4 linked regions of the Schizosaccharomyces pombe genome follow. The gene in region 4 interacts genetically with the main gene of each other region. Each region holds a gene or a part of one and is shown on either strand. Other genes may lie near its edges.

Region 1 (7,791 bases), on a different chromosome or scaffold from region 4:
TTTACGGTGCTAGCCAAGTGATTCAGCTCATTCTTCATAGTACTGGCAGCAATACTGGTAGCGGTGTTGTCAAAAGCAAAAGCCGATTGCGACTTGCTGTGCTGACGACCGAGGGGACGTGGTGCCAAATCCATAGTGCTTCTGTCTCTTTTCGAAGTTAAAACGTTCTCTTTAAACCTCTAAAACAAACAATTTCAATGTTTGTTATGATATACGGAGAGAGTAAGTTACAAGTAGGTGCTCGTTTTATATAGCGGCACTTACGTCACCTTTCCTGTCGACATTTGTTTAGATTACGTGTAAACAACAACCGACAATTTTCAACTTTGAGCATGGCCAAACGGACGATAAACGTTTGTTAAATCATACATGACATTAATAAATCTACAAAAAATTTCAATCTATTCCAACGTCGCATTCTAAAGGTTTATTGCGAAAAACATGCTTGCTGAACGCAAGTAAAATTTTTATTTATTTACAAATTTGTTTACAACAAGAAAGTGGGTTGTTATGACGGCGGAAATCAATTGGTGGGGTTTTCGCCGTACGTAAACAAATTATCAATAATCAATTACCGTGTTCCAAGGTTTTATACGTAGTTACCTAGGCAACATCGCAACAGCTATCGAAATCGAATGTACACGAAAAGTTTGGAAATATCCGATATAAGAATATTATTCATAAAGAGAGGTACTTAATGTAGACGGAAAACACCACTTATTAGCCGATGGAGGATGGAAAATGGCTCTAAAATATGAACATTATTAACTAACTATATGCAAAACGCAGTAGATCTCTAAAAATGAACCAACTAGTTAGTTAGTGTATGCAAAAAAAGGCCAAGGAAGGCGAGTAGAAATTCAAACAAAGGTTCTGCTAAGCAGAGCGAGGCGAAAGTAATATGGATTTGAAGTTGTCAGCAAAAAAACGAAAAACAAAAAAAAACGAATTATTAAGCAAGCTTCTTTAATGAAAAAAAACCTTATATAATAAAGAAATGTGAGTTAAAGAAAGTTAGCTAACTTGATAACTGAGAAAATGTAAGAACCATAAAAGGTTAACGAAAAAAGATTTAGGGAAAAAACGAGCATTAGATTGGTATGAAAAGGCAGGTGGATAATAGAAAATGCTAATTAAAATAAAAGGAACAACAACAACAACAAAATATACGAAATTGAACGAAAAAAAATTTCGACTTTAATGGGCTGCCGATAGAGCAAAGAAAGCACTTGTGCTATATTAAGACAACAAAAGTCGAGATTTTGGGATTATTAAATTTGGCCTTTAGTAAATGAAACTGTATGGGAGAGGAAAAAAAAATGCAAGCTTTAATGAAATGAAGTAGTAAGAGAGCAGACAGGTAAGAGAAAAAATAGGATTACCGTCATAATAGCGAAAAAAAACGTTTCAAAAAGAAACAATTAGAGGTTCAAAATGTGACTGAAATAAATTAAAAAAAGAATACGTTCCGTATTTCGAAATAAGAAACAGCAAAAGTAAAGTGTAACAATGAAAAATGAAAAGTGAAAATAAAAGAACAAAACAAAATTCTCACAAATCATAAACATTAACGAACGAAAGTGGAGTTATGGATGTGGAATCGACCAGGCTGACTCCGCTAATGAGTCATCGGTTTTCTTTCTCTCCATGGAGTACTGTTCATCACGGGAAGGCTCTATATGCAACTGAGGAAGAGGCTTTTGCAAATTTGGCCGTGGACGAGAACGTAAAACGACGAAACCTTTTTCAGATTCTTTCGGGGGGTCTGAGTGCCATATGGACTTAGCTGTTGATTGGACAATTTGCCACGCCCGTTGAAATGCATTTTTCGGAGGAGGTGGAATAGCAGTGGGCCTCATTTCAAATGGTTGCGAAGAGATTTGCGATAGACTGTCAATACTTGTGTCTACGTGTGGATGATAGACATCGGCCTCACGAACCGCGTAATTAACATCATGGCGTAGTAAATTAGGCTTGTTGTTTAAAAAGTCTAATTGTAAAGCACGTAGTTGATCCATGTCCCGTTTACGAACAGATGACTTTGGTTTAGGTGGACGGTAAAATGAATATCCTTGTGATGTGCTGTATGGAGAACTGGGAGTAACAGGAGAATCCAACATTAGACTACTTGAAGATGCTGTATTGTTCTTAGAAGGGACAAGACTCGACGCTTGCGTAACTGGAGGAATACAGTTAGTCTGAACGAATAATTTTGGCGGAGCAGCCTCGCCATCCTTCTTAAGGGAATTAGAACAAACGGAGACTGGCGTAAGTGGCACTGACATTTCATTTGAGTTGTAGGTAGAATGATCAAACATCATTGTGTTGCCATTGGAATATGGATCCTTAAGACGCCGGCGTCTCAATTCATTAATACCAAATACCCTGGCCCAACCAAATGGTCGATCGAGTGGGACACCTTTACTCTCACTTTTAGCACCTAATAACCGTGCACTGACTTCCATAAATCGTTGAGTTGACAGAAGTAAGAAAAGGATACAAACCATTATGTGAATAAACAAAATTGCATAGGCCAGTAAATCTCTACTAATGCCAAGAACCTTTAATCGAGGATCTAAGGGAATCATTAGAATAACCGTGATCAAGCGCATGGTAGAGATGAAGGTGTTTAACGTATTCATACTCGTCTGCGGGAAATGTGGTCGCACATAAGCATACGCCACGACATTAGCAACTTCAAGTATAAAGAATATGGCTAATTGTGCAGAGCCGGAACTTCCTATGACACCAACCGTAATACCACGCATAAATTGTACGGCAATTGGAAAGATCCAAAACATAACTCTCTCTTCTCGAAACGAATTGTATATAGAGCCAAATAAATGCAAATATGTTTGATCTTCAAGAAGTTTGGACGATGGTTCAACAAAAGCGAGATTCATATATAAATACACCGGAATAAAGATTCCAAAAAAGATAAACCACAAAACGGGGATAATTTCATAACCTGTGGGCGGTGCGACAAACTGGAATGACATATAAGCGACGGTAGGGAAATATGTCAAGAAGTAAAGACGTATCAGAGAACCAGCAATGAAGCTCCAAGTATCCCACCGAGTTTCGGCAATAGTTTCATTGAAAATTCTAGACATAAGCCATTTCAAAAAAATAACCAACAATGCTACAAATAACGCAGCAAATAAGTAAATAACCATGACTATAAGAAACGGAAGCCAGCATGCAGTACCTATTCCTATAGAATCGAGAAACGAATACATGCCATATGACTTAGGCAAATAATCCGCATAACTAGAGGATGCTACAGACAAGTCGGCAAAGTCTGCAAATTGATATTCAGCAGGCTCGGAGAAAATGGGAAATCGAAATAGAGCAGTGCCCCAAGAAAGAGCAGCCATAATATTTATGTAAAATTTTGGAAACATAACACTAACCTGAGCTGTAGAAACAGCAAATTGCAAGTATTGCACAAAATCAAAAAATCCAAGGGATGTTAAACGAAGAGCATCAGGGTCCATATTAAAATTAAAAATCGACTTAAATGGATCTAAACTGCCGGTCCATGGATTTAAAAAAAGAGCATAAATAATGGAAAACGAGACATATGCGAGCGACACAACAACCAAATATGAAATAACTGGATAAAAATAATACAAAGTTGTGGACAAACCAAACTTCATACAAGTTATTACATTTTTCTCGGGAGTACCGTCAACAACGATTACTCGCGTTGTTAATGTAGTCAATTCGTATTTTGAGTAATCGGACAAGGTGGATTTAAAGGGAACTTTAACCATGAAAGCGGCACTTCCAGCTGCCCAAGGACATTTTATGGGGACTTCAAAAGAATGAGGATCCATAACAACATCACAAAGCTTTGTGGTATTGGATGTGACCAGTTTTCCTAACGCATAAGTTTCCGAATAAACTGAAGCAGCGTGAATATGTGAGCCATTTCCACCCACAATCGTTATAACTCCGGATAAATTCCCCACTACTTGAATGTAGTACATCCGATTCACTTCATCAAAATTCTTGATAACTGCATATGGGCTAAAGGTAGGAATACCTGCTCTCGGTACAAAGTTTGAACAAGTCTCAAAATAATCCAAACTTGGGGATCCATTCACTGCTGAAAGAAGGCTGTAAAAAACGATATGAAGAAAGAGGAAAACAGAGTACGGGCGAGGCTTCATTATTATCCAAACACAAACATTCTAATAAATTTTAATATAAATAGATCCAACCTTGAATTCTTTTGATTCTCTATGAAACGAAATTTGAAAAAGACTTTAACTGCTCAGGGTTGGTAATTTGAGCAATTACAAATGCAGTTATTTAGAAAGAAAAGAAGGTTTCAAAAAATGAATGCTTTGTAAGATATAAGTAGGCCAGAGACGCGAAACACATAAATTGCTATTTCTCGTGTGTGTAGTTAATGACAAACACATGCTCTCGCGTTCCTTGTCCTAGTATTAGATAATAAAGATTAACTACGCAGCACGTTAGTGAAATTTTATGAAAAATTTCCGGCTCGTTAAATAAATAACATAATAATATACTATTTCGTTATTTTCCAAAGACAAATCTGCTCAAGAAAAGGTCCTAACATTAGCGCTTTATATGCATATATTATAAACCATACAGCGCTATTGAGATATAAAAAAAAACAAATAAGACAAGAAGAACTCAGTAACGTTCTCAAAGACGTTTAAAACTCGAGTCATAAAGTCCCTTCTGCTTTGGTCCTTCAAAATTAAGACAAGCTATCTACTCGTTATTTTTAGTTCTAACTTATCACATAAATATATACATTTAAAATTATTGAAATAATATTCTTGACTTGTTAGATATATAACGTACATTAAATCATCATTACGGGACCAGCTCGCCAAAAGTTTGCTATACTTAGTCTAACATAAATATTTCACTTTTCAAAATTTACGTTTCTTTCCTGAAGCCACGAGTGCAGAGTGTCCAAAGATACATAAACACCGTGCTTTAAAAGTATTTCGAGAAGGTCGTTTGAGGAAATACGTAGGGCATTTGAATTTTTCCATAAATAATGATACAACTTTTTTCCACCAGGGCTTCGAAAGAACGTTGAAATATTAGAAGAACACATTACTTGAGGAACCAGGAGATTATCAGCAACTTTCTTTTCATCGTGTTCGCAATTAACTATCGGATCGGACTCAAGGGTGGTAAAAGACTCTTCTCCAGAATCAGAGGTTGGAAATACCGACATACCAAAACAAGAACCAGCTTGTTCAATATCATAGCGATTATCATCATCGATACGGGTGCATACTCCTCTCAACATGTTTAACTCCCCACTTATCGAAGGTACTTGTTGGGACAATAAGTCACCCTCATTTCCAATTAGGTAATAGACATTAGTTCTAAATGATGATATCCATAAGTAAGGCGTAATTTGACAACCGATATTGCTGTGGTGGAACCCAGGTTCGACATTCATGAGTTCATCAGACAGAGGAAACTTTGGCTTATGCCTTTTAGCAATAGAAATAGCAATTTCTGGATGAACAACTTTGGACTTAAATTGTCTCTTACTAACACGAACTCTAGAATCTTCTGAAACAGAAGCCGTCATAAGTAACGGCTTTTTCTTGGGAATGGTATGGCCAAAGCTTAATGGGGTCAAGCTTTCTGAATGCAATTGATCAACGGAATTATTTTTTTCTTCAAAATATTTGGTAACTCTTGATGTAATACTGTTATAAGAAACCTTCGATTTAGAAGAACGAATGTGTGGTTTCTCAACTTTAGTAAAGTCATGAATATTAGCATTATCCTTTTTCAGGAAAGAATGCAGCGTTTTCTGTCGCGGTGCTGCATGGACTTTCATCTGGTATCGAAACCGCTGAACCTTCTCTGCAAAACTTTGCGCAGCATCATTTTCTTCAACATTAACGTCGTTTAAATTTAAAGAGGGTGCTGTTTCACCTTTAGATTCAATCATTTTTCTTAACTTAGATTTTAAACAACGCAGCACACTTCGTCGATGGATTTATAAGCATCCAAAGACATTTGCTTCTTGTCTTACAAAAAATAGAAAAAGAAAATATATTTTAATCACAAGAGTCAAGGTTAACAAAGAGACTTCATAGTAAAACTACCTGTTGGTTTTTGAGATGAGTTTTGGCGAAACAGGTTACTATCAAATCCCAAAACATAATTTATTTATATCGTTAAGTCTCGGTAAATTGATAAAATGCAGGATTGAGTATTTAATTAAGTAAAATTATATCCATAAAAATAGTTTTAATAAGTTTGTTAGGTCGCTAAAGCAACTAATAGGATATTAGACTCCGGAAAGACATCCTTAATTGTAAATGCCTGGCGAGTATTTGCTAACCGGAATGCTTCGTCCGGGAGAATATCAATATGCGCTTTAACACCCAATTCTTCCAACATGACCTGAGGTGTTGAAAGTTCTGAAACCATTAAATATCCATGATAAATATTTTTTTGTACCTTTGGAAGTCTCTCTATATATTTTAAGGCCCAGAAACGATTAATGTATCTTCCTATAGTTTTAATTGATTTTTCTTTTTGGTTGTACAAATTTAGTTTTCCACGAAGAATACCATCAGGTATAGTATTTTTTGGAGTCTTTAATAATACCGACTGAATCTGATGATGAGTGAAGAAGTCGGTAAACCGGCGTAAAGGAGAGGTAGACTGAATATAGCCATCCTTTAGCCCCAAAGAAAAGTGGGAAACAGGTGTGGAGGCTAAATGTGAACTTTCAAATAAAGGCATTACAGAAAGTGAATACTTAGTTTCAACGAGTCCCCAAGATGACCTGTTACTTAACAAAGTTTCAAACGCTTTTCTTCGTACACCATCCATAATTGGATAAGGCTGGCCCCTAAAAATCCCAGGTAATTTATGTTCTTGAAAAAATAATGATGAAACCCGGCCAGCCAATATCATGCACTCTGATATTACTGATTCTGCCAAGCTATACCCTTCACTAACGTTCAAACTAATTGTAGGGAAGGAAGACCAGTATACTGGATGATTCAGATCACCAAGATTATAAGGGACATTATTAGGCAGCAATTCAACTGTCGGAGTGGGTTGTGCAATAACAAACGCAAACTTTTGTAACCTAGAAAAACAGGCTTGTTTCGAAAGTTCATATATTCTTAATATATCTTTCATGTGATCATTTGATACTCCTTTTGTTTCCTCATCCACTGGTCCAGAAACGATGTCTTTCGCAATTGATCGATTACTATGCAAAGCTTTATCCAGTTGTTGGGGTGTGTATTTGATAACTGAGGAAATGAAGCTAGGCCGAACCTTGTAATCAAGTATATCGCCATTTTTTGAAATTTTAGCACTAAAAGTTAATGCTCTTTGAGCTGTAGAAGATGAATCTAAACTCCAATATTTCTGAGTGATATTGAGAGGTAGCATATACACAATTTTGTTGGGATGATAAATAGTTTGAAAGTTCCTTTCAGCAAACGTGCCTAAAGGACTGCGAATGTCAACTGTACTCGTAGGATTAGCAACATGGATATGAAGCCAGGAATTAGACATCCCTAATTCTTCAACCGAAATCGCATCATCTATCTCTTTCGTAGAAGAACTATCAAAGGCGAACGCTTTAAGATGCCTTAAATCGACGCGTTGCGATTCAAGTGAATCTTTTAATTCATTTTTTACAAACTTTTTAAAGTGATTACACTCACGTTCATACACAGCATCTAACTGAGGATTAGTACCAAGGCCAGCAATGCTGTATTCCTGTTGAAACAACCTCGGGGGCTGCCATGA
Region 2 (4,987 bases), 470 kb from region 4:
CATGGAGAAATTTTTCGGGAAATACCCCTCAATCACCACAAATAAATTCTGCTGCTTTGAAAGTGGAAACAAAGAATAGCTGGACAGCAATTTCTGAAGAGACTGAAGGACTTCAAGATGACGAAGAGTATAATGGTATTCCTGTCGATGTAAACGAATTGTTAAACGTAGAATTCATATCGCAAATACCAATGAGTACGGAAACAAGCTCCAGTTCAAGCCCGCAGCCTACGGAGGAACGGAAAGCAAAGTTCAAACCCAGTTTTACTCAAGGCACATTCGTCTCAAAGCGCATGCGTATGCATGCGGAGGATTTATTCTAGAAAATAGAAGAATGCAATTGATAAAAAAGAACTACACTTCTACAATTTAGAATATCGCTTTTCATATAAACAAGGTATGACTGATGTTAAATTTATCCATTTTTAACTACCCGTAATACTATTATACTTTAATGACAACGATTTTTGTTTTCTCTTTCATCAAGCATTGTATTGAATAACTTATAGACGAAGAATGCTATTGCTGCTGTGCAAACTGGCTTTATCAATTCGATATATAAACAGTTTTCGCCATGCATGGCTAAGATCGTAAAGTTCAGCATCACAAAAAGTTGGAGGATCATGTTTTAAAAGTGAGTATAAGTACTTGTAATTTTAGACACTACATTTTAGCAGGGGCTTCATCGGCTTTCGCCTCAGCACTTCTCTTGGAGTCGGCAGTATCGCTTTCCGACTTTACTGCTTTTCCAACGTCATCAAAAAAGTTGTTAATTCCATGTCGCACACGTTCAATACCATAAACAATCTTGTGGTCGGCTTTACGAACGTCTTCTTTACCTTCGCGTTCCATTATTTATAATTTCAGAGGATGTACAAAAAATTCAAGGTTGGTCGTATTATCAAAACTTCGCAAATGTATAGGGACAAAAGCAATTAATAACTTTAATCTCACCTAGTGTTTAAGTGTGATAGAATGAGTATTTATCACCAGTTGTTTTGTTAAAGAATAAACCGCCGAAGCCGGGCGGCTGCTGTATATATAGTAAACATATCAGCGTCCCTACCGCCAACCCATGACGTAAGTCGGGTTATTAAGAAATGCGATCTCGTGAAATAAAAAATAAGATTGAAAATAATGGAAATTGGAAGAAAAACCGAGAATTACAAGGGCGTTTTGTATGTACCTGATAAATGAATATGTTTAATCTATTTGACTCACATAAACGTTGTATTTATGTTTTTTTTAGTGTTTATTTATTTTTTCGATTAGTGTATTTCACTAAGTAAACAAATTATTATACGATTTTTTATTCACATCGAATGATGCTGCAGGTACAAATCGAGCTATCTAAAAAATATTACTTTTCAGTACGCCTGAACCGCTTGCATAGTATATTAAGTTTTTGATTAATAGCATGTTGCATTCCATTCAAAAATTTAATATTTTACATAGTAAAACGATTTGAGACGGGAGATAGCTATACAGAACGTGAAGTCTGCAAATACATACATGCTAAATCATTGTTTTATTAGCATAATGTCTAAGTCTATAAGTTCGCTTACCGGAGTTTATGGTAAGTATTTTTTTTCAGGACTGCCTTGGGTCGCTTCTCAAATCACAGTATTCACACATAATCAATACAAAATAGTGAGCAAAACTTGTGCGCTTAACAGAGATAACAATTATAGAGTCTCAAGGATGAATAAAGTGGACTTTGAATGAATCAATTGTTCACCATATATATCTCAGCATTTGAAGGCTTTTTATCTTTCCACTGCAATATTCTATTGCTTTTTTTTGATAGTTTAAGGCTGAAAAATCTTCATTACATCGGTTTTCTTGATAAATTTGTTAATTGTTGACATGAAAAGCTGCACCTGGCAACGCGTTGCCGTTTGTTTACCTCGTTGTTAGTTTCATTTACAATCAACACCACCACCATATACGAATAAAGAATACTGCCATAAAGGCGAGATTGAAAAATCTCTTAATTCGTGTTTTTTTCCGTTTACATGTCTCAACAATTAAGCTTTAATGCATCTTCAGCAAAGCCTGATAAAAGTTTTTCAAATTACTTTTGGGTATGGTGTCTAAGCCAACGTGGATAGCTCATTATCTGCCAAAACTTTCGATTTTTGTGTTAAACACAACACCTTAACTAACATTCTTTATTAGGGTGCAAATGATGAGGGTTATCATGCTTTACTTTCGCGTTTTAGCGATGTGAAACACATTAATGAAGAGCTTCGGTCGTTTTATCATGAAAGGTGAGAAATTTGAGGTGAAGCAGGGTTTAACATGCTATGATCGTTTATTCTAACTTCAACCTTAGAGCGAACATTGAAGAAGATTATGCCAAGCGAATGGCAAAGTTGTCTCGAACAACCTTCAGTTCTTTGGAAACTGGTTGCCTCAAAGAATCAGTCCAAGTTATGAAAGCTGAAGTTGACAATATGGCAAAGTCTCATTTGCAGATTTCTCAGTTGCTTCAGGATGATGTCGAAAATGCGTTTACGCGGTACGCTGCCTCTTTAAAGGACAAGAAAAAGATGATCGTTTCGGGGATAGAAAAAGTTCATAAGGATAAACTCTCCAAGCATCAAGCTCTTGTTAAAGCTCAAGACAAATACCATTACTTGTGCAAGAAAGTAAATTACTATGTTTCTCAGCAAAACATGCTTTTCGGAAAGGAGCTAGAGAAGAACAATGCGAAATTAAACAAGACTCAGAATGCTATCACTGCTAGTTCTTCTGACTATCAATCAGCTGTAGCAGCTGTCAGAGATTCATACGCTCGTTGGACCAACGAATGGCGGTCAACCTGTGACAAACTTCAGGACATTGAAGAAGAAAGAAGACATTTCCTGAAAAGCGTCATGTGGACATTTACACTACTTATCTCTCGTAGTTGCTTTAATGATGATCAAGCATGTGAACGAATTCGCAAAAATCTTGAACAGTGCAGTGTCTCTCAGGATGTTTTGGAATTTATTGACGCAAAATCTACAGGAACGGGAATTCCTCAACCTCCAAAATTTTATGACTATTATAAGGGCGAGGTTCCCGATGATTCTGTAGAGTTGGTTCAGGCTAATTTTCAGCGGGCCCAAACCAAAATAGAAAATGACAACATGCCATTGAATCGTCCATACGTCCTTTCTGCCACCGCTCGTAATGAGTCGTCCTTCGAAAATACCCTTCCTAATACTCCTAGTGCAATTCAATCGCTTACCACTGTTTCTTCTAACTCTTCCCAAAATGGTAGAAGCTCTCCAAAGAAAAGCTTTTTGAGTAAGTTTAAATTAACGAGTCGTCCTTCGACTCCAAACGTTGGTAATACGGCTCCGGATGCATTATCAAGTCCGAGAAATGACTCTCCTTTAACTTCAGCGGCTGATGAACAGATGAAGCATCTTTCTTTACAAGAAGAGCCAAAACAGAATCCTACGCCTGCTGCTCCTGGTGCCTTCCCTAACTCTAATACACTACCACCAAGGTATAACGAACTTGGTTCTCTACCAAGTCCTAATTCTGTTTCTTTCACCGAGGACTCCCGCCCAAATGTTAACACTCCATCACGGCGTCAACAAATTCAGGAAGAATTTGGTAGTGTACTACAAATGGAGAATCGTGCGGTTTCACCCGTTTATGATTCAAGAAAGAATGGATCTCGAAGTTCATTCACATTGAGGAAAAGTAGGTCACCAAAACGTCCTTCCTCTTCCCTTTCTCAGAATGCCAGCCGACTTCCTCGTTCCTTAACACCAGGAAATTTAGAGCCAAATTATGATTTCGGTGTTCGAGTTGATCCAGCAAGTGGTACTGCACCTACCGATGACGAGCCTTATACTGATCGGGACTCTTCCTTTGTTGATGATACAATAAATACAAAAGCTACTGGAAACACGTCTAACCGACTTTCTTTACCTGCATATCCTACAGACGGCGGTGACACCAGTATTGATAATCCAACAAGTACAGATGGTCAACGTATTCTTGGTTATGGTATGTCTAATCTGTCCATCGCTATTACAATTACTAACTTGAATTTAGTATCTGCTTTATATGATTATGATGCTGCAATACCCGAAGAGATAAGCTTCAGGAAGGGAGATACCATTGCAGTTCTTAAGCTTTATGAAGACGGCTGGTGGGAGGGATTTGTCGTTGGAGAGGATGACCATAACCGTGGGCAATTTCCGTCAAATTTTGTTCGTGAAATCGAGGTTTAGCTTTCGTATTATAGTTTCGCATTTTCTCATCTTTTCTCATTCTCATTTAAATCTAAAATACTAGATTTCTAATTTTGGTTGTTTTACATTATAGGATATTTAGAATGCTACACGTTTAGTTAAGTTATCTACATTATAAGATTATTATCTTATAAATCTTTATGAATTTTGCAGATTAAAATGATACCGATTGTTATATATAGCATTATGTTCAAAATGATTGAATTATTGTCATTCATTGCACCATTTTCTACCTAAATATTTCTAGTAATTCTCGTTTGCTTCTAAAATTCTGTAATAACTTAAAAAACATCAAATCTTTACCAATCTAAGTTAACACACAGGTCTATAATAGCTTCATGTATAACTAATTACTATTTCCTAGTAAGCTGTGACAACGTGGCCGAGTGGTTTTAAGGCGTTCGCCTGCTATTCTGTAGCCCAGCGGATTCCCTTTGGGAGCGCAGGTTCGAATCCTGCCGTTGTCGATATCTTTTTTAAGTTGCAAAGCGATTCACTATAAATTTTTGCGGTTCTATATTGGAAATCGCTATTCACTGTTATTTTTGTTACTTAGCAAAGTGGTTTTGTTGTTATAACTAACGTCTCCAACGATAAAAGACAACAATCTGCTTGTATTACTATAAATGCAAGATTCTTCCTCTTACGCGAGGCGTATGTTTTCTTTTTTTTCTTTTGACTAATAAGTTAACAATAAGTTTAGGGTATTCACAGGCACCTTCTTCATCTAA
Region 3 (5,867 bases), 160 kb from region 4:
GTAATGCACATAATATTGATAGCGATGAGGATGCGGTTAATGAATCTTTAAGTCACTCTACAAAGAGCTCTATAATTCAATCACTTGCTTGGGGACCTCTTTCAGATAGTCCAGTGCTTGCTGTTGCTGTTGATGAAACAGTCTATTTCATCACACCCCCGATCTTTTCTGACGAGCAGATTGAAGCTTCTAAAGAATTGTTTACTTCTGCTCCTTACCAAGAATCTAGTGCAATATGGAGAAGAGGAGCCAAACAATCTTTACAATTACATGGTGGTATAGTCCATGCTACTGTTTCTACTCCCAGTAGCATTAAGTCCTTGTCTTGGCATCGTCGCGGTGATTACCTAGCTACTTCTTCTCCTACTTCTTCTAGCCAGGCGGTTCTTATTCATCAGTTGTCAAGAGGTGCAAGTCAATCGCCATTTTCTAAGTCTAAAGGTTCTGTGCAAGCTGTTACGTTTCACCCTACTATGCCTTATCTTCTGGTTGCTACTCAACGATATGTCCGCATATACAATCTTGTTAAGCAAGAGCTTGTAAAGACCTTGTTAACTGGTGTCAAATGGGTTTCGAGTTTAAGTGTCCATTCGAGTGGGGACCATGTCATAATAGGTTCCTATGATAAAAGGCTATGTTGGTTCGACTTAGACTTTTCTTCTAAACCATATAAAAATCTTCGATATCATTCACGTGCTCTTCGCGATGTCTCATATCATCCTTCCCTTCCACTATTTTGCTCTGGCTCTGATGATGGTGATGTTCAAGTGTTCCACGGTCGTGTTTACAGTGACCTTCTGGCTAATCCCTTGATTGTTCCTCTTAAGATTTTGCGGAATCATAAAGTGGTTGATAATGTCGGTGTTTTATCCACATGCTGGCATCCAAAAGAAGCCTGGTTATTCAGTGCAGGTGCTGGTGGAGAAATTCGGATGTGGACTTGAAAAAGGTTTGAAACGTCTTAAATATTTTTGTTTTCTTCACTTGCTTTAAAATTTAGAAAAACTCTACTTTTAAAAATAATGTTTGGTAGTGTTTACTGCAAAAGATACTTTTTCAATGCTGTATTATAGTTTTGCTAACAAGTCGAAAAGATTGTTTTCGTACTTGATTTTGGATATTTAATAGGAATATAGGGGTTTTCGAAAGTTTAAAATGCATTTGTGCAAACTGAATATGTTTTTATTTTTTATTTTTTGGTAAGTTATCTAAAGTATTTAAGTATTACGTGATATCAAAAATCGTAACCGTTGAAATTCAATAGTGCTTTTTATATATCTATAGTTACCTAATCATTAATTGCTTAATTATAAAAATACAGCAAGTTTAAATGCAAGTAAACATGCTGGACTTTGTGGATTAAATGAAATGATTTAAAATCTCCAAGATTTCCAAGACAGCTTTCCTTATAAAGCTAAAATCGATGAAAGAAGTGAAAAAATAACAAAAAAAAAAGAAAAAGAAAGTGATGAGTAAGTCTGAGTTAATCCAAATTAAACTTGACTGATATCGCCTTGCAAGGACGGCAAATAGGGGTATTTTCTATCATAAAATAACCCTCATCTCCAAGTAGGGCATTACAAGCTCCGCAGGTCCAACATTGGCTATGATATTCACCATCAGACCCTTTTACACTGATCCCCAAAATGGGTTTACGGCATTTCTTGCACTTAACAGCATACTTATTATCATAACAAGTCTGACACCAGTATAGGTCGTCACGGTAAATACAGGGTATATTTACATTAAAAACTTCAGAGCAACCAGCGCAAAAATGATGATTTTCATGAAACCAATCATTGTTGATATGGACCGCTTGGTCTTCAATTGGGGTTTTGCAGTGCTTACAGCGAGGACTGAACTGTTCATGATAGTCTAGATGACAATAAAATTTTCCCTCGCGGTAATAAAATCCAACGTGCTCTAAGTTCTGGGAACAAGTATCGCATTTGAAGCATTGAGGGTGTAATTTCTTTCCTGAAGCACTAATTATTCTGCCAGCGCGTAAAGAACCGCCGCAACTATGACAGGATTTTTCAGAATTGCCTCTATAAAGAACTGGTTTTGTAGATGTATGAGAAGATACCATTGAAGGCTTAAGTGAATCTGATTGAAATAAATTATTTGAGGACAAGTTGCTAGGCAATTGTGAAGTGGGGGTGGGCAAAGGATATAAGCTATTAGCAGGAGCAGAATGAAAAGAATGCAAAGCGGGTCTACGATTGGAAAGTTTACTGGATTTCTGTAAAGGAAGAGTAGGAAGTTGTTTGGATGCGAAGGTTTTTTGTCTGTCTTCAATGCAATCATGATCAACAAGCGGCTGTAAACCGGTATGACAATCGTAAACATTTCGTACGTCTGGATAATTAACATGTGAATTCAATTCCTCCGGCGAACTAGGAAACTCATCGTCGTCACTGTATGCAAGAGATGGCAATTCAGGTAAAAGCTCCTTTTTTAAGCTATCGAAAGTAGAAGTAGAAGCAGAGGTTAGTAGTGTTTTTTCCGGCGACGAAACATTAGAACGAGAGAGCTCGTCATCAGGCAGATCAAAACGTACACGATTTTGTTTTATTGTTGGATTCCTCTTGGACAAAGGAGATTCAGGAGTCTTCAAACTTGGTTGCGGTAATGGTGTAGCTATTCGACCTCCAGTAAAGTTAAGTGCTCCATCAGATAACCGAGAACGAACTAAATTGTTTAGCGGGGAGCCATTAGTAGAGACCGGCGAAGAAGGAGCAGCACGAGGACCAGTCAATCGACGTTCAAATCTACAAAAACGAAGTTAGATACCTAATTGGGTAATAACAATAAGACAATAGATTACCTTGGTAATTCTGGAATTGGTGAATGCATTTGCTGATATGCTTCTCAACTATCAGGACACTAATCAACGGAAAGAATTCAGGATCGTTGACAACCTTAAGAAATCAGGATAGCCAAGCTCGCAGGGTATAAATCTAGCCGCAACACTTAAAAACAAGATAAAAAATAGGAAGAGAAGGATAAGGAAGGAAAAACAAAAATCAAGCTGGGATTAACTTATAGAAAATTGTTGCCAACGTAAGGATATATATCTCAAAGAGCGGAGTCCCCCAAAAAAACTAGCTGTATTAAAAAAATGCAATTGTAAGCAAGTAGTTATTATTTAGAAAGCAGTAATATTTGCTTTATCCAAAGTGTTTTAGCTAATAAGTGTTGGCTTTGTTTAAGTGTATATTCCAAAATATAAACAAACATTCGTTGTTATAGAAACCAGCCTCATAATAGGTAACATTGTACCTTTAACGAATACTTAGAGAGTACGTATTCAATGTTTGTATACCAGCAGAAAGTAAAAAAATGCGAATATATTAGTAATTAAAGTGAATTAAGCCATTCCTATGCAGAAAATGTTCCAAACGAAATCAATGTTATTTGTTGGACAATTTTATATGTTGCGATTTCATAATATGGTACAATATCTTTTTATAATTTATTTTTTTTATACTTTGGCAGTAGATTATTGTGGAGCGCGTTATTAATGCTTACTGTATTGTTACAGCTCTTTAAATGTCATTAACTACCCCATTATGCTTTGTCAGGCATACAGCATTTCGCTTATTGTTTCATAAATAGAAACCTAATTTTGGCTTTCAAGCTACAGATTGACCTAAGAAAATTCTTTACCAGTTGTAAGTATAATTGTATAAGAAAAAATATGTAGACCCGTGAGTCTGTTCAGTGTGTAGTTACTTATAAGCGTTGCAATGTGTCGCAAAATGATATTGTATATAAAATTACGATCACACTGTACCACACAAACGTCGTTAAAGGAAAAAACACTTTTTTGACTGTAGATTTGTTAGAAGCAAAAGTGTTTGAGAATAGTTTATGTGCGGAATTCTTTTCGCCTTAGCGGAAGACAGAGATAATCTTCTTGAAAGTCCATCTTTTTCAGCTTTACGAAAAAGGATTCGGGCTAGAGGACCTGATTTTTTTGGTAAGCATAAATTGAATAGCGGACCTTGGAATTTGCACTTTGAGTCAAGCGTTTTGCATTTACGTGGCCCTTCTGATCATTTAACGCCTCAACCTCATGTTGACAGTTTTGGAAACGTTTTGTGTTGGAATGGAGAAATTTGGCAAATAAACCATAGCGATCATCACAAATTTACGCTCAATCGTAATGAAAACGACGGTGCAAAACTTTTTGAACTTTTAAACAATAACCCGGGCGACATTGAAAAAATTTTGGGAAGTATTCAAGGACCTTTTGCTTTTGTTTACTACCAAGTTCGTACAAACACATTGTGGTGGGGAAGAGATCGCTTAGGAAGAAGATCCCTTTTGTATAGTTTACGAGATAGTAATTTCGTTCTCTCAAGTGTAGGAAATTCTAGTGATTTCCGAGAAGTTGAGCCTGGGTTTCATAGTGTGCAGGTGGACTTGATCCCAAAAATTAACTTCTCTAAATCATTAATGCAACTGGAAAAAACAAACCCTCTTCCTCCTGTGGATGAGTCCTTTCTCATGGGCTCAATCTCTTCAGACACTGTGGACACATTGCATACATATCTTATCAAAGCGCTTCAAGATAGAGTTTTAACAATCCCCAAACTGTGCTCTTCAAACCTTGACTGTAGTCATTATAGCCGAGTTTGCGTTCTTTACTCTGGGGGAGTGGATTGCGGTGTATTAGCACGGCTAATGCACGACATAGTTCCCAATAACGAGTCCATCGATTTAATTAATGTGGCTTTTGAAAACCCAAGATTTACAGAGACATACCGTGACAGAGAGACGGGACTTCTTCCTGACAATTTTGATGCATACGACGTATGTCCTGATAGACAAACTGGATTACAAGGCTGGCAGGAGCTTATTTCAGTTTGCCCTGCTCGAAAATGGAATTTTGTTGCTATAAACGTTCCTTATACAGAAGTATGTGAAGCACAGGAAATAGTCAAAACACTTATCTATCCGAACGATTCAGTTATGGATCTTTCTATTGGATTAGCTTTTTATTTTGCTTCACAAGGGCGTGGTGTACTTTTACAAAACGTGGATGATATCAAACTGAAACATCAATTACCTTCCTATACTATAAAAGCTAAAGTCCTCATCAGTGGCCTGGGGGCTGATGAGCAGCTCGGTGGTTATATGCGGCACCTACGAGCGTTTGAACGGAAAGGTATGGCCGGTCTTGAAGAAGAACTGCAATTGGACATTGATCGTATTCCACATCGTAACTTGGGCAGAGATGACAGGGTAATGTCTAATCAAGGGAAAGAGGTGCGTTATCCTTTTCTCGATGAGCGTCTGATGGCTTTGTTTAGCAAAATGAAAACTACTGATAAAATGCGTCTAGATTTAGTTGGAGGTGACAAACTAATTTTACGTGAATTAGGACGTCGATTAGGTTGTCCCTTAGCTAGTCAAGAAAAAAAGAGGGCTATTCAGTTTGGTTCTAAAGCAGCAAAGATGACTCCTGGAACCGGTAGAACATCAGGTCGTAAAAAGTTAGAAGTTTGTATTTAAAAATAATAATAATAATAATAAATTATACTTGAGTATTTCATAAAACTACAAATGTTAACTCATCTCCAAAAGGGAATCAATAGATGAACTAAGCCTTCCTTGTTGCGCATTTAACACAACTTCAATCACTTCACTGTCAAACGCTGGAAACATAGCTCTTAAAGCCGTAATTGCTTCAGCCTTTTCCCGAGCTTGTAGCCTTTCAGCTTCAGCTGTCTCAAGAGACGCTGTTGTTGCCTCTCGCAGGTCATCATTTTGTTGTAATCCATCATCCACTGGCTGCTCTTCATGAACGATGGGAGAATGGGTAGCAGACGAGGAATATGCACGAGATACTCGATAGGGAG
Region 4 (6,032 bases):
AAAGGCTAACTTGGGACTAAAAGCTGTTTCTCGCAATGATTGGGATGATATGCTAGCCCAAGCCCAATGTAAAGTCCTCAGCGTTGTTAATAGTGAAGAAATAGATGCATATTTACTTTCTGAATCCTCTATGTTTGTGTTTGCCCATAAAATTATCCTTAAAACATGCGGAACCACTACACTACTGGCTAGTTTGCCTCGCCTATTAGAAATTGCTTCTAGTGTTGGCTTTGATCGTCCTCTTCGTATTTTTTACTCAAGAAAAAACTTTTTATATCCCGAACGCCAGCTTGCACCACATACGAGTTGGGAGGAAGAAGTTCGTTACTTACAACTGTTTTTTCCAAGTGGATGCTCTTATGTAGTGGGTCCGACAAACAAGAATCACTGGCATCTGTTTTCTGATCTGGCTGATGATTATTCTTTACTGGAAGATTCCCTTGATCCTGAAGATGAGACCCTAGAGGTACTCATGACTGATATGTCTCCCGAACGCTCGCTTCAGTTTTACGCTCCATCCTTGGATGTTGTTCGGAGCGCTAGAGGTGATGACTATGTTCGAGAAAAAAACAATCTCTCGGGGGGTCACATCCTTGGCAGTTATGTAGCTGATGAATCGGGTGTTAGAGACTTATGTAGTACCTCTGATAAAAAAGCAGTGCTTGATGCTTTTCAATTTGAGCCAATTGGGTTCTCGTCGAATATGATTTACAAGGACCGCTATGCCACAATCCATGTTACGCCTCAAGAACATTGTTCTTATGCTTCATTTGAAACAAATGTTTCGCAATTCCAATTCGGAAGATCCATATCTGAAACAATCGAAAAAACTGTTAAAACTTTTGGTGCAAACAAATTTTGTCTTACCCTTTTCCAGGCTAAAGGTGCGTCTCAAGAGAAGCATTTCTCGGCCAAACTTAAATCTTTTAGCTCTTATAAGCGTGAAGAATTTATAGTGTATGACTTTCCTGGATATGATCTTATATTTGCCAGCTTTACTGCAGTATAAGTTCGGAGAACAGTCAGCTAGATATTTTAAATTATCTGTTGCTATATTTATTATCATTCTTTTTTACGGTGGAGCGTGCCATGCGAATACCCCTTTTTACAATCTTTCATTATGCAAAAAGTAGTCGTCTTTTGTTTGCTTGTTTTATAAAAGGTTTCATAGTTATGAATACCAAAAAGTTTATTATGAATATCTAAATGCAATGCTTATGTATCTAGTCATCGGTTATCTTGTATTATGCTAAAGTAAACTCATTTGCTTTCTTTATTTTGAGTGTTTAGATATTTGTTGTAAGTATGCTTAAAACCTCGGATCAGGTTTATGCTCATTGAAAAATTCCAACTAAAAAACGAATATGCGCAGGTTTTGGTATCTACAAAGAGCTTTTCTTATCTGCAAAGCGTTCTACCAAATGATCGATAGAGGTATCATCTTCAGACGAATTCATTACTTCTTCGAAAGCCTTTAAATCCGTAGAACGTCGACGGCTATTAGATGGCGGTAAACGTTCATTTTGGATATCCAGCTTACGAGCATCATCGAAGGAATTGATAGCATTTTTGATACCCTCAGCTCCCAACATTAAAGTACCCGCAGGTAATCTTTGCGTACCTGACACGTTTTTCAGTTCCGAAACACTTTCCCGTTCTTCTCTAAGCACACTGAATACTCGAGAGATACGGCCAATAGCCATAATCTTGTTTTTAATAATTTGCCTACGAGCTTCAATATCAATTTCTTGGTCGGCTTTATTTTCATTCTCAGATGGAGCAGGCTGTTTATGCTGAGTCGGAGCCGATTCTTTCAAATCCGTTTCATAAAGCTCCTCCTTAGAACATATATTGAGCATTGAAATCAACATTTCAGAAACTTTTTCGCCCACAAATGGAAGACTCCAAGTAAAAACATCCATAAAGTTAGGAAGCCAGTAAGGATGAGGGGAACAATTAAATTGTCTTATATTCATTACATTATTTTCGTATTTCAAAACAGCAGCTTTATTATTGTAAACATCCAAATAGTTGGGTGCTGAAAATATGGTCATCAAAGATGGAAACCCGGTTGTTTTAGTTTTGCGATACATTCGATAGCCCACATCTTGAGCTTCATGAGCACGAATAACGGAGAGGAGATTATTGTTTTCTAAGAAGGTGCAAACAGCTTGGTAACTATAAAAGTAAGAACAGCCACGAACATTATTATGAATAAAATGCTTGTTTGATTTTTCCGATCCAAAATCTTCAAGGGGATCAGACCAGAGTAAATCACACATCAACCCATGAGTTGGAGGCTCACAAAAACGATTGATCATTCGTATATCATTCAAAGTATGTAGTTCGGGTGATAATCCACCATGTACACATAAAAATTGCTTATTCATAATAGCTGCCAAAGGAAGGGCATTAAAAGATTGTAAACAAGCTTCATAAACTTTAATATTATACTTATGAGTACATTCTAACTTGAAGGTAAAATAGTCAGTAAGATGAGCGCATTCGTGATTGCCACGAAGCAACCAAAGCGTTTTCGGATACCATATTTTCAAAGCCCACAAGTACAATAAACACTCAATTGAGAAATATCCTCGATCCACGTAATCTCCAAGGAAAAGATATTGGGTATTTGCTGGATTACCTCCAACTTCAAATAGTTTCATAAGATCATAATATTGGCCGTGAATGTCACCGCATACTAAGCTGTCAGACCGAAGAATATTGCAATACAAACAAAATATCGACCCAAATTAAAATGAAGGAAAAACATAGTCATAAATTACATTTCAAAGTTCTAATATTTTACCTTATAGTAATTAGGGCCTAAATATGAAAGGTGATAATCAACATACCAGTGACAGGTGCATCCACCTCAATCAAGTTGTCTTCTGACTTCAAAATTTCTGTAGCCTTTTTTATAATATACAACGTTTGTTCCTCAGATAAACGGCCTTCCCGAATGAAATGATTGCGAAGAAAATGCAAGTCAGGTTTATCAGGTTCATTAATATCAAAAAACTCCACGTCCGTCGGAATATAAGTTGCTGGTGCTTGAACATCTTTGATTGTTAATAAGACTAATTTCTTTCAAAAATATCCGTACTTTTCACTACTCTATCCAGTGTGCTAACACTAGAGCCATCTTCTTGAACAAATATTGTAAAATCATGAGAAGGAGCTTGATTTTTTTGGCGAATTGCTCGAACTATTGGGTCTTCTAAATTATGAGGACCCGAAGTCATATTAGTAACTTTTGCAAGCCTATATACAGCCTGGGTAAAATGCTAGATATTCTTGCAAAAAGTTTTGGTAGATTCTGGTTTGTTATACTTACATCGTCCCGGCGGTTTTGGAAAATGGTTTAACGAAAAGCAAAGAAATTCGTAATTGCTTTTCTCAATGAACCATGTGAACAAAAAACATATCTGTTTACAATTCTAAGTACTTTTTTTTTTTTTTATAATATAGATATATTTCATCATAATCTTTACTTCTGTATATTTAAAAATTTACAAACAATCGCCGCTTAGACAAACATATCTTAATAACCAATCGTGTTAGTAATAAGAAATGAACTTGTAGAAAGGGAACCCAAATACTACCTGAATTCCTTCCTAATTATATTGCCTTGCTCATTTTTGAGAGAAGCAAACTAAGTTGATTTGATGAAACTTACATTCCATGATTACCTAACTGAAATAACGATAGTTTTATTGATAAAATAAATATCCATAAAACACTTTAAGAGTTAATAATCATTTTATTTTTTGTTTAGACGGCTACGTCAAATTTTAGGTTATTGTAAATATTCTTTGATTTCTCATCGCTTTCCGTAGTAAAGAATTAGACAAAAGCGATTTTTAGAAAGAATAAGCAAAATAAATGTAAATTTGGGTATTTTATTAGAAGTAAAGGAAATAGAAAAGAGTGTTGCAAGTGTGAAGATATATGCAAAAACTAAAACATATGTAAAATTATGGGATAAAGCCAAAGGAAAGAAATGAATAATGCAACAAATGTAAAAAATTAACCATATCTTACAAACTTTTATGCTCTCAATAGGACATTGGAACACTTCTAAGAAAGAGAATTCCAAAGCACACAAAAAAGCTTAATCTTTCTTCTCGGTGGGTTTGGTAACAGAAGAGGACTTGTCATTTTGAGAATTATCAGATAGCGTAGTAGCTTTGGTAATTGTACTATTATTAGTAGGTTTTTGCTCATTGTTTGTATCGGTTTTAAGGAAACGTGTAGCATCTAGTATTTCAGAGGCTTGTGGGTATTTACCTTTTTCTTGAACCCCATGGACAATATCGGTAAATGACTTAACAAACGATTCATTTTGAGCGTTCGGTACTGGCATAGCAGATGGGACTTCTGGTAAGCCAAGTTTATGCCTTATGGTGGATGAACGCAAAAATGCCCCTTGAAATACACTGAAGACATTGCTAGGAAACCAATACATAAAAATTGCCATAGGAAAATTCATAGTGAATAGTGGACTGGCAAGGCAAAGAAATCTAAAAAATTTTTTCATTGAGGGAGACATAGCAACCTTATTACTTCCAGTTTCGCTACCAAGCTCTATATTGAGCAGCATAAGAAGGCCGTTTGCAACCGGAAATATGTGTAGAGGATCAGGCTGGGATAAATCATTAACCCACCAAAAACCACCATCAGTGAAACCCTCTACAGGTACACCCGCCATTGTCTTCAACGCGTAAAAAAAGCTAATAAACAGAATTCCCTGAAATACAGGAGCAGAAAGCAAATTCAAAGGGTTAACATTGTTAACTTTATAAAGGTTTTGGATTTGAGTGGTAGCTTGCATCATTAATTCGCTGTTTCCTTCAGCCTTTGCTTTACTCAACACACTCATGTGTTCAGCAACCTTTGGGTTAATGATAGCGAGCTTTGCGGACGTTTTCATCATCTTTAACATAATAGGAAATACTGCAATTCTCATAGCAACAGCACATGCAGCAATTGAAGCCCACCAAGGAAGGCCGCTCCAAATATGAAGCGTATTAAGGCCGTTTTGGAGGATATTATGAGGTAAGAAAGAAAAAGATGCTAAGACGGAGGACGACAATGGCAGACTAGGAGTGTAAACCACTTTCTCGGACCTAGATTTGGGGAAAGAAGTCGAAGAGTTGTGAATTTTTATTAAGGAAGAAGTACGCTGATTTCGGCCAAGCTTAGCAAAAGAGAAATTCTTAAAAAATGTATTATGTGTGTGGATCTGGCGAATCTTCGCTCCTTGTGTAGCAATCAAAAAGCATGATACCGAGTAATGAGATTTCGAAGAAAACTTTATTCCTCTTCCAATGACTGAAAACATGCTTGATTAATAGTGAAGCTCGAACTTCAAGGATATATGTTTTTACAAATCGAAGAACCAGCTAATGTTTATCCAAGATACCCAAAAATAAAATGAAGCGATTAAACCCAAAAAAACATATAAATAGATCCAAAATCCTCTAATAAAAATTTAATTGCAAGTTAAAAGTGGGTAAATTAACTGGTAAAATAACCTGAAAAGGTAGTAGAGATATTGAAATTTAGTTGTGTGCGCGTTGGCACACGGTGTAGTGTGGTATCTGTCGTTATATAAGTAAATACATACTATTTTTTGACTATTTATAATTAGATTGTTTCACACAGTTAAATCTGACACAAGCGTCAAAGTCAACAATGAAAATAAACTAGCAAAGCGATCGTTTGACCAATAATGACATTGGTTTATGTTACAAAGAAGTTAGTGATACATGTGTTTTTTGATTTAGAAGTTATGGCAAAAGCGGTTATTGATTCTAAAGAGGATATAAAGATTTAAGCGAGTTCTCTTATTTTTTTTTTTTACATTTCCTTGGTATATTGAGAAACGAGTCTTTGGTTAAACATGAATAGAATATGACTATAGTACATGTTTAGTTATAGTGAGTAATAGTGGATATTAATACTAACGAATTGCAGTGACAATACTTATGAATTGTCAATATTAATGAAAGATAACGATTTATCGTTAT

The links.
Region 1: of ppb1 (region 4) and trp1322, extra expression of one rescues a mutant of the other (dosage rescue), as found in Schizosaccharomyces pombe (one study listed by BioGRID).
Region 2: mutations in ppb1 (region 4) and imp2 are lethal when combined (synthetic lethality), as found in Schizosaccharomyces pombe (2 studies listed by BioGRID).
Region 3: of ppb1 (region 4) and pxl1, a mutation in one rescues a mutant of the other (synthetic rescue), as found in Schizosaccharomyces pombe (one study listed by BioGRID).

What each region holds. Positions count from the first base shown.
Region 1 is NC_003421.2:1,284,521-1,292,311, reverse strand, and holds trp1322 (TRP-like ion channel protein), read right to left. Parts: upstream 4,423-7,791; 5' UTR 4,176-4,422; coding exon 1,587-4,175; 3' UTR 501-1,586; downstream 1-500. Other genes in the region: fyu1 (UTP-glucose-1-phosphate uridylyltransferase), read right to left, coding at 1-134; pxd1 (protein Pdx1), read right to left, coding at 4,907-5,962; rpm1 (3' ssRNA-specific 3'-to-5' exonuclease), read right to left, coding at 6,277-7,791.
Region 2 is NC_003423.3:3,345,966-3,350,952, forward strand, and holds imp2 (F-BAR domain protein Imp2), read left to right. Parts: upstream 1-1,934; 5' UTR 1,935-2,015; coding exon 2,016-2,084; exon of another isoform or gene 2,085-2,178; coding exon 2,179-2,270; exon of another isoform or gene 2,271-2,335; coding exon 2,336-4,008; exon of another isoform or gene 4,009-4,056; coding exon 4,057-4,235; 3' UTR 4,236-4,487; downstream 4,488-4,987. Other genes in the region: SPOM_SPBC11C11.01 (U2-associated protein), read left to right, coding at 1-323; protein tam11, read right to left, coding at 664-852; protein Ndc80, read left to right, coding at 4,883-4,910, 4,960-4,987. UniProt on the Schizosaccharomyces pombe protein: Required for normal septation. Involved in the disassembly of the medial ring during septation.
Region 3 is NC_003423.3:2,709,501-2,715,367, reverse strand, and holds pxl1 (paxillin-like protein Pxl1), read right to left. Parts: upstream 3,201-5,867; 5' UTR 2,857-3,200; coding exon 2,828-2,856; intron 2,772-2,827; coding exon 1,484-2,771; 3' UTR 1,161-1,483; downstream 1-1,160. Other genes in the region: erb1 (WD repeat/BOP1NT protein), read left to right, coding at 1-944; asn2 (asparagine synthase), read left to right, coding at 3,874-5,520.
Region 4 is NC_003423.3:2,871,210-2,877,241, reverse strand, and holds ppb1 (calcium-dependent serine/threonine protein phosphatase calcineurin catalytic subunit Ppb1), read right to left. Parts: upstream 3,321-6,032; 5' UTR 3,246-3,320; coding exon 3,107-3,245; exon of another isoform or gene 3,063-3,106; coding exon 2,856-3,062; exon of another isoform or gene 2,702-2,855; coding exon 1,383-2,701; 3' UTR 1,133-1,382; downstream 1-1,132. Other genes in the region: S-adenosylmethionine decarboxylase proenzyme Spe2, read left to right, coding at 1-1,009; oxa102 (translocase Oxa101), read right to left, coding at 4,115-5,344. UniProt on the Schizosaccharomyces pombe protein: Calcium-dependent, calmodulin-stimulated protein phosphatase. This subunit may have a role in the calmodulin activation of calcineurin. Appears to be involved in cytokinesis, mating, transport, nuclear and spindle pole body positioning, and cell shape.